3 linked regions of the Rattus norvegicus genome follow. The protein of the gene in region 1 binds, or shares a complex with, the protein of each later gene. Links are inferred from orthologs where the notes say so. Each region holds a gene or a part of one and is shown in the gene's direction. Other genes may lie near its edges.

Region 1 (4,448 bases):
CATACATCATGTTGAGCCATTAATACAAGTTCTTAGCAAATGTTAGGTCATTCATTGAATGCTTTCCTAGCATTCCAGTTCCACATATTAATTTGCTCCACACATTAATTAAGAAAATGTTATCTCACCTAGTAAAACCCAATCATAGTAAAACTCAGACCTTCTCCACTGAAAGCAATTTTTAAAACTTGGACAAAAATGTGTTAAGTTAATATAGGTAAGAAGAGTAATGAATTCAAATATTTAATGTTATTTAATGTGATAATGCTACTATATACACATAAAGGGCTCCAAATAATTAGTAGCCAGATTAAGGTGCTCTGTATTACATGCATTCATACACAAGAACTGTACGTGCCTAGAGGTATACTCAGTCTTTGAACACACTACCTTACAGCAGTAGATGTTAACTTGAGAGGAAGAGAAAGCAGAAGAGATAGGAAAGCACTCTTGGGGGAGGGGCCATATAGGACTGTGTAGTTCCTTCTTGAATTTCCCTGAAGTAAAACCAAAACAAAACACAAAAGGGTAAAATGGAGTATTTAATGAAAAACCCAGCAAAATAAACCTTTTCTATTTGGCTATACCAGTTCCTGTTGATATTTAAACAAATTTACATATCTACTGTTATGCATATTTGCTGATAAACCAAAATACCTTCAAAACCTTGACAAAAGTACTTTTAATTTCATCTTGGGTTTTATCTTCCTTTTTCTGGCCTTCAACTATGATAAACCGAAGTGATATATATTGGTTGATTGGGGTGGGGGATGGGGCTGGAAGAAGGTAATTTTAAAAAAATAAAACAGCAGAAATTTTATTTACTTCAAATTAGTAGTAATCCACATTAATAAGTTCTACCACTCAAACAGGAATAGCAATGCGTTATGAAACTAGTAACTTCAAAACACACAGAGGCTTTTTTCGCAAGTTTAGTAACCATAAAACACGAAGTTTATGGATGTTCAAAGGAGTAAAGTAAGAGTATTACAGCAATGAAAACGAATTTTACTTTCAGGGATTGCACTGTTTTGGAGAACAAAACCCTGGAAGTTCCCACCACAGCCACCGTATTTTCAAAAGGTTTAGTGGATGAGCCAGCTGATCACTAAGGTTTACAAAGGGCGCGCCGGGCGGGAACTAAGTAAAATGCCATAAACATCGGACGGTTAGATTAAGCCCTCCCCGTGGTGCTTTAAAAACACGTTCCCCTTACTTCCTCTCACCAGGTTTGAACCGAAAAAACATATGAAAAGGAAGAGGGGGGGCGGCGATCAGACGCCCAGGTTCCAGCGGAGGGGAACTCACTGCTCAGGGGGGTGCCGGCGGCGTGCGGCGGGTGTTTGGGGGTGCGCACCCGGGAAGCGCAGGCTGCGGAACGACGATTGGACCTGAGTACCGCTGCCACTGCGCCGGCAGGTAGTAGTAGCACTAGCCCGGGGACAGACTGCAGGAGGTGCTCGGGGGCGGGGTGTCCGACGAAAACACAAACACAAACACGCTGTGCGTCCCCAGGTGGGCGGACCCACGCTGCCTCAGCATTTCCCCGCCCCCGCCCCCGAGGCCGCTCTCGGACCCCAGGCCGCAGCTCCTGGTGTGGCGGTCTGGCTTGGGAAGCCCGGCGAGGCCTCGGAGGCCCCACTTTCCGTAATCGCCACAAGGCAGCGCCGCACCTCCGCGGGAGGTGGCGGGACGCCTGGCGGAAGCCCGGGAAGGCTCCTGAGGAGCGCCGTGCTTCTCACCGTCGACCGGCGTTCGGGAAACACTCTGTCCTTGAGGCGAGCATCGCTCGCCACCTTCTGCCGCCGCCTTAGAGCGAAGTCGGAGCGACGGGGGTCACGGCGGGGGTCAGAGGGTAAAGGTCTTGCTCCCAGCAGCCTCCGCGGTGGATACGTCGCCATCTTGGATCCGCGGGACAAGAAAATTCATGCGGTGAGTTTTTGGCAAATTTTCGGAAGTCTGGCAGCGGGGCGCGCGGCGGGGGAGGCGGATTGAGGGCCCCCTCAAGGCGGGGGAATGCCTCGGGGCTGGTCCGGTCGCGCCCGGGGTCCGCGGGTAGCGTCCCGGCCCGCCGCTTCCCGTTGCTTTTGTCTCGGCTCCAATCGAGAGAGGGAGAGCGGAGCGGGCGGGGAGGGGGGTGGCGGCGCTGGAGGAGGGAGGGGGTGTGTGGCGGGGTGGACAAGACGTAAAGCGTCGCCGTGCTCGGGCCGCCGCCGCCGCCGCCGCCGCCGCCGCAGCCGCTGCAGCTCCGGAGCCTAGGCCCGGTCCTGGCTGCCCGCGACGGGGCTTTCCCGGTACTCCGCTTCCCCGGCTCCCGCCGGCGCGGAGCAGCCACTGCCGCCGTGCTGCTTCCTGGGGTAGGAGAGAAGGCGGCAGCGGCAGCGGCAGCATCCGAGGAGCCCCGGCCGCTTTAGACGGCTCTGCCACGTTCCCAGCAGCTGCTGGTCCTTGAATCTTCCCATTCTGGCAATACACGCGCATCCTCCGCCACTTGTGTGTTTTTGTTTGTGTAAGATGGGGACATCGCACTGGCTAACGGGCCTCAGGAGCCTCCAGGCCCTGAGATACCGAAGGGCCTTGCAAGGTAGAGGGAGGAGAGCAACTTAAGATGCTGCTTCTGCCACCGTACCCGGAGAGGGAAGCTTCTCTTGTGGTGTAGACTTGAGTTCGGATGGTCCTGGGGCAGCGGAGGAGGAACCGGAGACACTCTGAAGTTGCAAGCCCTGGTTTCTACTTCCGCCGGGCCCTCTCTACCTTTTGCTGTTTTAGGTCTTCACTTCAAAGTTTCATAGAAGAAATAAGTTGGGTTAAAAGAAACCCGATAGTTCTTAATTGAGGTACTGTTTGCTTAGGAGAAAGCTTAGAATCCTTGTTATCTGTAGGCCCTTAGGGGAATCTAATTGTACTTTTCTTTTCGTAAAATTATTTCTAAGGTTTTGTTTTTTGCATTTACTTTAGACCCCATTAGTATGTTATTACTTCCAAAAATATCTTACACACTTTCTTGGAAATCCTAGGGGACATCTCCACTTTTCAGCATCTGGAAAAACAAGTGTTAAGAGTGTTTTGCTTCATTTTCATTAAATTCTTAGCCAAGAATTTCTCTTTAATCATCTGGACAGTTCCTAATAAAATATAGCAATATGATCCTTAGATTCTTGGCGAATGGTAGAAAGTATGATACTGAGTTAACCAAATCTGTTCACAAGGGAGACATTTGATGTTCAAAAACACATTTTTCTATTATTCTCCATAGTGAGAAATTTTAAGGAGATGGAATTGTGTTCTTATAGATTTCCCTTTCCAAACAAATAAGTGAGGGTAATTTATATGGAGCGAGTGGGATAGAAATTTAAACTTTCACAACAGTTTATGTTTGGAAATGCTTGGCATATTCAACACAGTTCCTTCTCAAAAGTCACCTTTGTAGTTTTATAAGGTATTTTATTCCAAGTTGGAAGTGTTGTTTAAAAATCCAGTACACTGAAATGACTGTCTACATTCACATATTGTCTGTGTTGAGGTTTTGTGTCTTTGATATGTTTTCTTAATGATCCAAGATCATTAACAAGGATCCTTATGCTCTCCTATCTAGTCTGTTGTTATCTTAAAGCTAAAGGAAAAGTTCAAAATGCACAATTTCTTTTACTTTTCACTTTTACTGACTTTGCAGGATCCTTATTTTTAAAATGGAACCTTTTCATTTTTTAAAAAGTGACTTTTTTCTAAGTATTTTATAACTCTAGACCAGAAATAAAAACTGTATTTAGCTTTTTTTTCTTTGCATTCCTGTTAATGCTTTACTAATATACAGAAGTTAAGGTAGTGCATGTGTTGACAGAGCACTTGGGTTCTAAGATACAGTCTAGAGATATCTGTAACCCTACCAGATGCTAGAGGCTGAGAGTCATCTGCACATCAGTAAATGCAGCCTTTGGAAAATTCTGTTTCTAAAGTGCTTTAAAATAAATTTGTTTGGTGGAAAATGAAGCAGATTGATGTCTGTGAGTGGTTTTTATCCCAGCCATCTGAGAACTCTTTGATTTGAAAATGAAATCAAGCTCCAAATGATATGCTCCCTAAAATAATAATCACCTTTATTTTCCCTATATAAAGGTGGGTGCTTTTTGGTTTTTCAGAGATGCCTTAGATTTATTAAAACTTCAAAAATAAATATTTTATACTGCTGGTAAATTAGAAATACCAGTAATCCTTCTCTGCTCATTTCTTTTCTTTTTTTTTTTTTTTCCCCCCGGAGCTGGGGACTGAACCCAGGGCCTTGCGCTTGCTAGGCAAGCTCTCTACCATTGAGCTTAATCCCCAACCCTTGCTCATTTCTGAAGTAGGTGCTAATATTAGCAAAACTTAAACTTTAATGAATCATTATAGAATTTTTTTACACTCTGTGGGATAGTATAAGTTTTTTTTAATGGACAAATTTGCTTGGT
Region 2 (3,648 bases), on another chromosome or scaffold:
AAACTGCTTGGACGTTAATGTAGTTTTACTAGTACACAAATCTATTGATAGCTTGTATTGTTTTGATCACTTGTCCATGGCGACGGGCAGTTAAATATTTAAGAACTAGCTTTCTGAGGTTACTAAGCCTTGACTTGTAGTGTTTTCTGTGGATTATGTACTTTTCCAGTCTAATGTGATAACTTTTGTTGACATTGTTGCGAAAGGTACTGTTAAAGTTGGAAATCACTAGCTCTTGTATAATACTGTTTTTGCAGAAGTTGAAAGAAATACTTCTGTACTTAGTGATAGTTTAAATCCTATGTTTGTAATTATAATATATAATATATTTGCAAGCATACCCCAGAAGAACTAATAAAAGCCTCCTAAAAAAAAAGTGTTCAGTAATTAGCTGTAATCATTTTCTTAGTTATATGAGTAGATTAAGAGAAAATATTACTTTTTCCATTCTTTTTAGAATCTTTTTAAGTTGTCCATAAACTATAAAATAAACACAGTTTGGCATATTCATTTAAGCCATTTAGCTTGATCTTCCGAATATGTCTAAAATCACTTTCGATTTAGCTCAGTGGTAGAGCGCTTGCCTAGCAAGCACAAGGCCCTGGGTTCGGTCTCCAGCTCTGGAAAAAAAAGAAAAAAAAAAAAAGATTTTTCTTTAACATATCTTCAATGCGTCAGGTGTTGGGGCATATACCTGTAATCCCAAAGTGTGATAGGGTGAGGAAGGAGGGTCTTGAAGTCAAGCCCAGCTGGTTTATGTAGCAAGACCTTGTTCTATTAAATGAATAAATAAATGATTTTCACATGTAGAAATATTTCTTTCTACTTAAGTGTGGACTCTTTGCTGGGGGTAAATACTAGATTAACTGAAATTTATGCAGTTTGTGACAGTAAAGGCACATTAGTTTTGCTATTTACCAATCACATGAATTAAATCATCTAGCTTTGGGAAGTAGAACAAATGTTATATGTACAAGTATGTCTACATGTGCATGTGTCTTCTTGCTAATTGATATTTTTCTTCAGTCCAGAACTTGTAGAAATGAGTATCTTAAACTAAGCAAATTTAGACAGTTAACTGTATAGTATGTTAGACTTTACTAAACCAAGAAAGTCTGTTCTAGAAGTGCCTGTTTAGCATTTTTGCCTTATAATTTATGTACAAATGTAAAACCTTATGATACAGTCAACTGCTATGTTTCTCTATTGTTTTTCCATGTTTATTCATAATAGTAACCCATCAAAGATTAGAGCCTTGTCGAATCTACAGTTAGGGCAACAGGTACCAGGAATACGGGTTTCTTAGTTATTCAGCTTTTCCAAAGTAAGAATTGTTATTTTCATGGAGTTTTTCTCTTTTAAACATATTTTTCTTTCCCCTTTGTGCTATCCCTAATCTCTTTCCAGGGCGTGATTGACTACATTTTCTATTCCAAGACTCACATGAACGTGCTTGGTGTCCTGGGGCCTTTAGATCCTCAATGGCTGGTTGAGAACAACATCACTGGGTGTCCACACCCTCACATCCCTTCAGACCACTTCTCACTGTTAACACAACTTGAACTCCACCCTCCACTCCTGCCTCTAGTCAACGGTGTTCACTTGCCTAATCGGAGGTAGTGGAGTACAGTCCCGCAGAGACGGGGATCTGGCTATGGACCTGTACAGTTGTAAATCAAAGTATGTAGGAGTGAAGTATGGCCATCTTTAACGCTGCTTCTTCAGGTTCCTTTCACTATGTGTTTGCTGTAAGACTTTGTATATTTTTGTGCATACTGATATCATTTGGCACTAGGGCTGGAACCAAAGTATTACTGTCTGTCTCTATCCAAAAGCTTAATATACTTTAAAATTGGACTTATTTTCCTATTGTATTAGGAACCAACATTCACAACTGATAAATCACTAATTTGAGACCCCACACCAATGTTGTTCTCTAAAAACAAATACATTCTTTTGAATGTTTTCAAATAAGCCAATCATTTTTGTAAAAAGTGATTTTTAAAAACTCCAAATACAAGATTTTCAATTGAATGATGGTATGCCTTATAGGAAAAACTTTGAGTTTCTGTTTTGTTTCATAACAAGCTGATTTTTGGCTCTCAAGTCATTTGCACATTAACAAAGCACTTAAATTTGCTTGATTTGTACATTAAATATGATATAGCCACTAGCCCTAACAAGACAATTTGAGAAATGAAAGGTAATTGCATAACATGCTTTAAAATCAAGCATAGGATGTGACAGTTGGTTGGCCAGATGCTGGCTGTTTTGAGGAATCTTTCTTTTCTTTTCTCTAGTCTTTTCTTTTTTGTCTTACTATTAGTCCTAATCTTTTTAGAAGTATTAACTCCAAGCCCATCTCTCAAGTTCATTGATAAGGAAATAGCAGATAATACTGCCATACATCTTGAAACTAAAATTTGGTTTTTTTTTAGTATGCCCACAAAATTAGTGTCTGGTATTTTTCATTTTCGTGCCCACCCTTTTTTTTTTTTTTGGTCTGGTTGTACTGGAAAAATATGATCTATATCTTTACCACTACTGTTAAACATTTAAAGAAAATTGCTGAATGAAAAGCCCCTGGACAGAGTTTCAGAAAGGGAAAGCCAGATAATATTATATATGTTTTCCAAAGTAAGTAAATTTATTTGTTGTTTTGGGTTTTTTGTTTCATTTTAAGATAACAGTAGAAAGGATTTTGAGGAAAGAACAGATTTGGGGAAGTAATTGAAAACCTTGGATCATTTTTTTCTGACTCTAGCTGCCAAATGGCCATCATATGCTTTTAATCTTCGTTGCCATTTGTCTAGATCTGAATTAAGCTACTGTTTTATTCCCAAAGTTTGATGCCTCTAGATGTATTGGAAACCCCCCACCATTTGTTGTTGTTGGCCAGGAGGTGCCACTTGAAAATCTTAAGAGGCAGAGAGCATGAACACCATTTTGTGGGGAGAAAATTTGTTGGCAAAATTAGAAAATGTTAATTATGGCACAGTAACATTGGAAAAGGTTGTGTCTGTGTTTTTAAGTTTTTCTTTATTCTGCTTTTTTGCTGCTATAAGAGTTTTCTGAAATTTATATTTTAAACTTTTCATGCACTTTACTGTTTCTAGTATCAAAATGTGATATTTTTAATAAACAAGAAATTTTCCATTATGTGATGAAATTTTAAAAGAAAATAGCCTATATTTGTGTCTAATATATAAAGTACAAGTCAAATTTAAATTATTTAATTAGTTTTAAATATATACAAATTGTCTCCTCTTTCAAACGTGACAACTTAGGCTGTTTTATTAGTCTTAAACGATACATTTCCTGTGGTCATTTTATACTAATTTCTTCCATAGTTTACCGATCAGGCTATATAAAAGAATATTTCCCCGAAGGGTAATTTTAGTGGGGCGAGGGTGGTGGGATGATGTAGTATCACACAGGACTGCATCTGGAAGAGCTCTGTAAAGCCTAAACTCCCTTTTAAAAGTGCCTAGTGACAGAGGCGTCGTCATCTATTGTGATTGGAATGTCACTGTAGTTCAGCAAAGTTTGATGTAAATAAAATATTCTTTTAAAAATGTTAAAGCACCTGAATAAACAAACAAAAGAAACCCTTGATGACAGATTTTCCTCAGTGTTCAGGTATCCCTT
Region 3 (4,147 bases), on another chromosome or scaffold:
GGTTATCAGATGAACTGTTGTGGTATTACAGTGTTAAGTTCAGCTAACCCTTGCATTAATTAATTAATAACGGCTCCAATGTATAAACTTGCACAATATTTGTAATAACTGTCCACTTTTGTTGTTCGTTCTTTTATTTACCTCATTGTGTCTAATTGACCATTTAATTTATTTATAAATTAAGCTGTTTTATAGGGATGCATGTATGGGAGAGTAAACAGTATATAAACTGTTGTTCTAAAATCAGTGCTATTAAGTCTTAGAACATGACCCTGAGGATAAGGTATAGAAAGGAATTGATGCCGTAAACATTCTGGGAGGTGAGGACAAGATTTGAACCAGACACTGAATGACTATTTCCTTGGTGAAAGATGCAAGTCTACAGGTCTAAGAATGGGAGTGACTCTCAAACAGAAGTCCTAAGGAATCCATAAGACACATAATTAGACCTCTCAAACCAACCTAAAAATCTTCAAAGCAGTTGAGAGAAAGCAGGCAAGTCCTTACCAAAGGACAACTTGAAACTGGTAGGCTTCTCTTCTGAAGTGATGGGTAGGACGACCGGCACCCCTCAGGTTTCTAGAAGAACCAAGACCCCCAGGCCCTACACAGGTCAAACTGTTGTTATGGAATTAAAGGCGAAGAGGACACTCTGAGTAAAGGAAAACATGGGAACTTGCCGCTGTCATCCTGGGAGCACAAAAGTCCTTGGGGCCACAGAGCTCCAGAGAACCAGGAATGTTGAACACACAGGGGCCACTCCACAATGGAGGAGGTAAACATACCTTTTTTTTCCCACCCAGAGGGCTGGGAGTAAATATTGTTAATGATCTGGTGACCCTTTGCCTGTCTGTGGAGGCAGAGCTCACCTACCTTTTGCTATAGAGGCAGACCTCACCCAAATCCCCTACAATGTTTATCCCAGACTCTTGCTCCCTAGCTCTCAGTTAATAAGAAACATCCTTAGGGGGGATGACACATGTACTTTATAACCTGTTGACCTCTAAGCTAACTCAGTCAGAGAGCACACTAGATTCCAGGCCCTTTAGCTATAGAACCCACTGTCTTGGTCACGTGTACTTTGCAAATGAGTTTCTAAGTAGTCACACCTCAAGCTTTATTGAGCACCTGGAATTGGAATGATTGTTGCCTGGAAACCTGGAATGGGAATGACTGTTGCCTGGACATTTTTTTCCAGATTGCACTGTGTTTTTAAATATGCTGACAATGAACTGCCTGGCATTGGACTCCCTGAAGTCTGATCCAGGTTGACAAAGTCAATGTGAACCAAGCTTTCATTCTCATCTCTTCGTGGGTTGGCTTTGCTGCCTGGACACCTGCAGGATCCCCCTCATTGGCAGACCTTCCTTAAAAGAATGGCTAAGGGAAGCTCTCCAGAACTGAAGAAAATGGTAGCTGACCCTTCTAAGAGGAAAACACAATGAGGTGGGTAAACTGACTTAAATGTAACAGACTCTTCCCCACATGAGTTCTCTTACTCATGTTTTATGGTTAAGGTAGGATGGTGTGGCTCGTTGGTAGACCATTTATCTAGTACCCGAAAAGCCTCTAATTCCTCCTCTAGCACCCCACAGGACAAAGGATATAGAGGACAAAACGGCGGCAGTAGGTTGTGATAAGCTGTTTATGGGTATGATACAGCACAAGAAAACTACAATGGGGTACAACTGCAACTTTAGGGAAACACAAGGAAGGCCAAGCGGCCAATAGGGAGTCCTGGGAAAGCAAAACAAAACAAAACAGACAAAAAATAGGCTGACACACAGAGCAAACAAGAAAAATGCAAAACCCAAACGTTTAAATGACTGACTTAGTCGTAGCACTTCAATGGTTGTGCTAGATGAAGTAGTCTGGGGGCTGGCAGAGGCCTCAGTGGTTAAGAGTGTGCACTGCTCTTACAGAGGACCCAGATTCAGTTCCCAGCCTCCTTGTCAGGCAGTTCCAGGGGGATCCAGTGTCTCTGATCTCTGGGCATCTGCATTCACATGCACGCGGCCAATCACACACACACACACACACACACACACACACACACACACACACACACACACACTTAGAAAAATGAAATAAATCTTGAAAAGAGAAAGAATGATGGGTTAAAAAAAACACAGTTCAGGGGCTGGAGAGATGGCTCAGCGGTTAAGAGCACCCAACTGCTCTTCCAGAGGTCCTGAGTTCAATTCCCAGCAACCACATGGTGGCTCACAACCATCTGTAAAGAGATCCGATTCCCTCTTCTGGTGTGCCTGGAGACAGTGACAATGTACTCATCATATATAAAATGAATAAAAAACAAACAAACAAACAAAAAAAACCACAGTTCAACTATATGTTACCTATAAGACACAAATAAAACTGTTAAGAGTTTGAATATGGGGCTAGAGAGATGGCTCAGCGGTTAAGAGCACTGACAGCTCTTCCAGAGGTCCTGAGTTCAAATCCCAGCAACCACATGGTGGCTCACAACCATCTGTAATGAGATCTGATGCCCTCTTCTGATGTGTCTGAAGACAGTGATGGTGTACCTACATACATAAAATAAATAAAATCTTTTAAAAAAGAGTTTGAATATATGTCCCCCCACAGGCTTCTACAATGGGGGTTTGGTGGCTAATAGGCTTCTGGGAAATAATTTGATCCTAAGGACTCTGGTCAAAGCAATTGGTTTTTCTTTCATGGATTCTCGATGTGAAGTCTCGATGTGTTTGGAGGTGGAGCCCAGTTAGAGGACATAGGTCAGTAGGTTGTGCCCGAGGAAGATGTATCTTGTTCCCTTACTCTGCTTTCTCTCTTCTTAGCCACCATTAGGTGGATGAGTTCCTCTTCCACATGCTCATGGTCTCTGCTTCATGCCAGGCCCAAAGTGATGGGTCCAGTAGCCATGTACTGAAGCCTTTGAAACCATGAGCCACCATAAGTTACTTCATGTGACTTCGCCACAGCAACAAAAACTGTCAGAGTAAGGAAAGGGAACAGATGGGGAAAGATAAAGGAGGCCCAGGCTGAAATGGAGTACTTCGCCAAATATAAGATTTGTTCCTTCAAATAGAAGAGGGGCCACTTCACTGGTTTTATGGGCCAGTTGTACTCTCATCTAAAGATAGCACAAGAAAGAAAACCATGAATCCCTATCTCTCCTAACTTATGTAAATAAACGCATGAAAACATTGGCAGATCAAATCTAAGAATGTACAAAGAGGATGACATTCTTCCACTGACAGGGATCCATCCCAGTTATACAAGGTGTTTCAGTATCTGAAGATCAACAGGAAAAGTCCTATGACTGTATCAACTTAAGCAGAAAAGCTGAAGATATGTATTTGTGATAAAACACTTATGAGAGAAACTCTGTGTCTGTGGGCAGGGGAGGTAGTAGCTTAGTTGAGTAAGTGTATACACGATTAGTGCATTAGTCAGGGCTCTGTAGAGGAACTGATTGAATGAATGGATGGAATGAATGAATGAGTGAGTGAGTGAAAGAATGCATTAAAGATTTATTTAATTATGTGTATGAGTGTTTGGCTTGTCTCTGTACCATGTGCGTGCCTCGTACCCAAGGAGGTCAGAAGAGGGCATCAGATCCTCTGATCCTGGAGTTACAGACAGTTGTGAGTCCATGTGGATACTGAGAATCCTCTGCAGGAACAATTACTCTTAACTGCCAAGCTCTCTCCAGCCCTCCTGAATCTCAGTCTTCTTTGGAATCCTGAAGTAGGTTCTACTACTAGAGAAGAAGCAGCAGGTTAGATGAACTTGCCAGCGGGAATGAGGGCAAGCAGGCAAAAACAAAACCCCAAAATTTCATTCTTCCATGCCCTTTATATAAGCTGCCACCAAAGTGTGGCCCAGATTTAGGGTGTGTCTTCTGACCTCAAATGATCCAGATTTTAGAGTAAGTCTTTCCACTTCAAATGATCCAATCAACAAAATCCCCTGGGTGCCCAACCTTGGATTTTAGTTATTTCCAGATGAAGCCAAGCTGGCAGCTGAGATTAGTTATCATGCCTAGCATGTGTAAGGTTCTGAGTTTGATACCTGGGACCACACAAGCCAGTGGTGCTGCATGCCTATGAGCTGAGCTCGGGAGGAAGTCAGGAGGATCGAGTGCTCAAGGTCCCGGCCTGTG

The links.
Region 2: Cnot2 (region 1) and Cnot6l share a complex: the UniProt entries of both Homo sapiens proteins name them as parts of the CCR4-NOT complex. The link is inferred for Rattus norvegicus from reciprocal best matches to the Homo sapiens genes CNOT2 and CNOT6L.
Region 3: Cnot2 (region 1) and Cnot6 share a complex: the UniProt entries of both Homo sapiens proteins name them as parts of the CCR4-NOT complex. The link is inferred for Rattus norvegicus from reciprocal best matches to the Homo sapiens genes CNOT2 and CNOT6.

What each region holds. Positions count from the first base shown.
Region 1 is NC_086025.1:54,105,051-54,109,498, reverse strand, and holds the start of Cnot2 (CCR4-NOT transcription complex subunit 2), read left to right. Parts: upstream 1-1,538; 5' UTR 1,539-1,927; coding exon of another isoform or gene 1,928-1,932; intron 1,933-2,186; exon of another isoform or gene 2,187-2,837; intron 2,838-4,448. UniProt on the Homo sapiens protein: Component of the CCR4-NOT complex which is one of the major cellular mRNA deadenylases and is linked to various cellular processes including bulk mRNA degradation, miRNA-mediated repression, translational repression during translational initiation and general transcription regulation.
Region 2 is NC_086032.1:13,797,891-13,801,538, forward strand, and holds part of Cnot6l (CCR4-NOT transcription complex subunit 6-like), read left to right. Parts: intron 1-1,407; coding exon 1,408-1,620; 3' UTR 1,621-3,648. UniProt on the Homo sapiens protein: Has 3'-5' poly(A) exoribonuclease activity for synthetic poly(A) RNA substrate.
Region 3 is NC_086028.1:34,529,209-34,533,355, reverse strand, and holds the start of Cnot6 (CCR4-NOT transcription complex subunit 6), read left to right. Parts: upstream 1-1,229; 5' UTR 1,230-1,446; intron 1,447-1,627; exon of another isoform or gene 1,628-4,147. UniProt on the Homo sapiens protein: Poly(A) nuclease with 3'-5' RNase activity.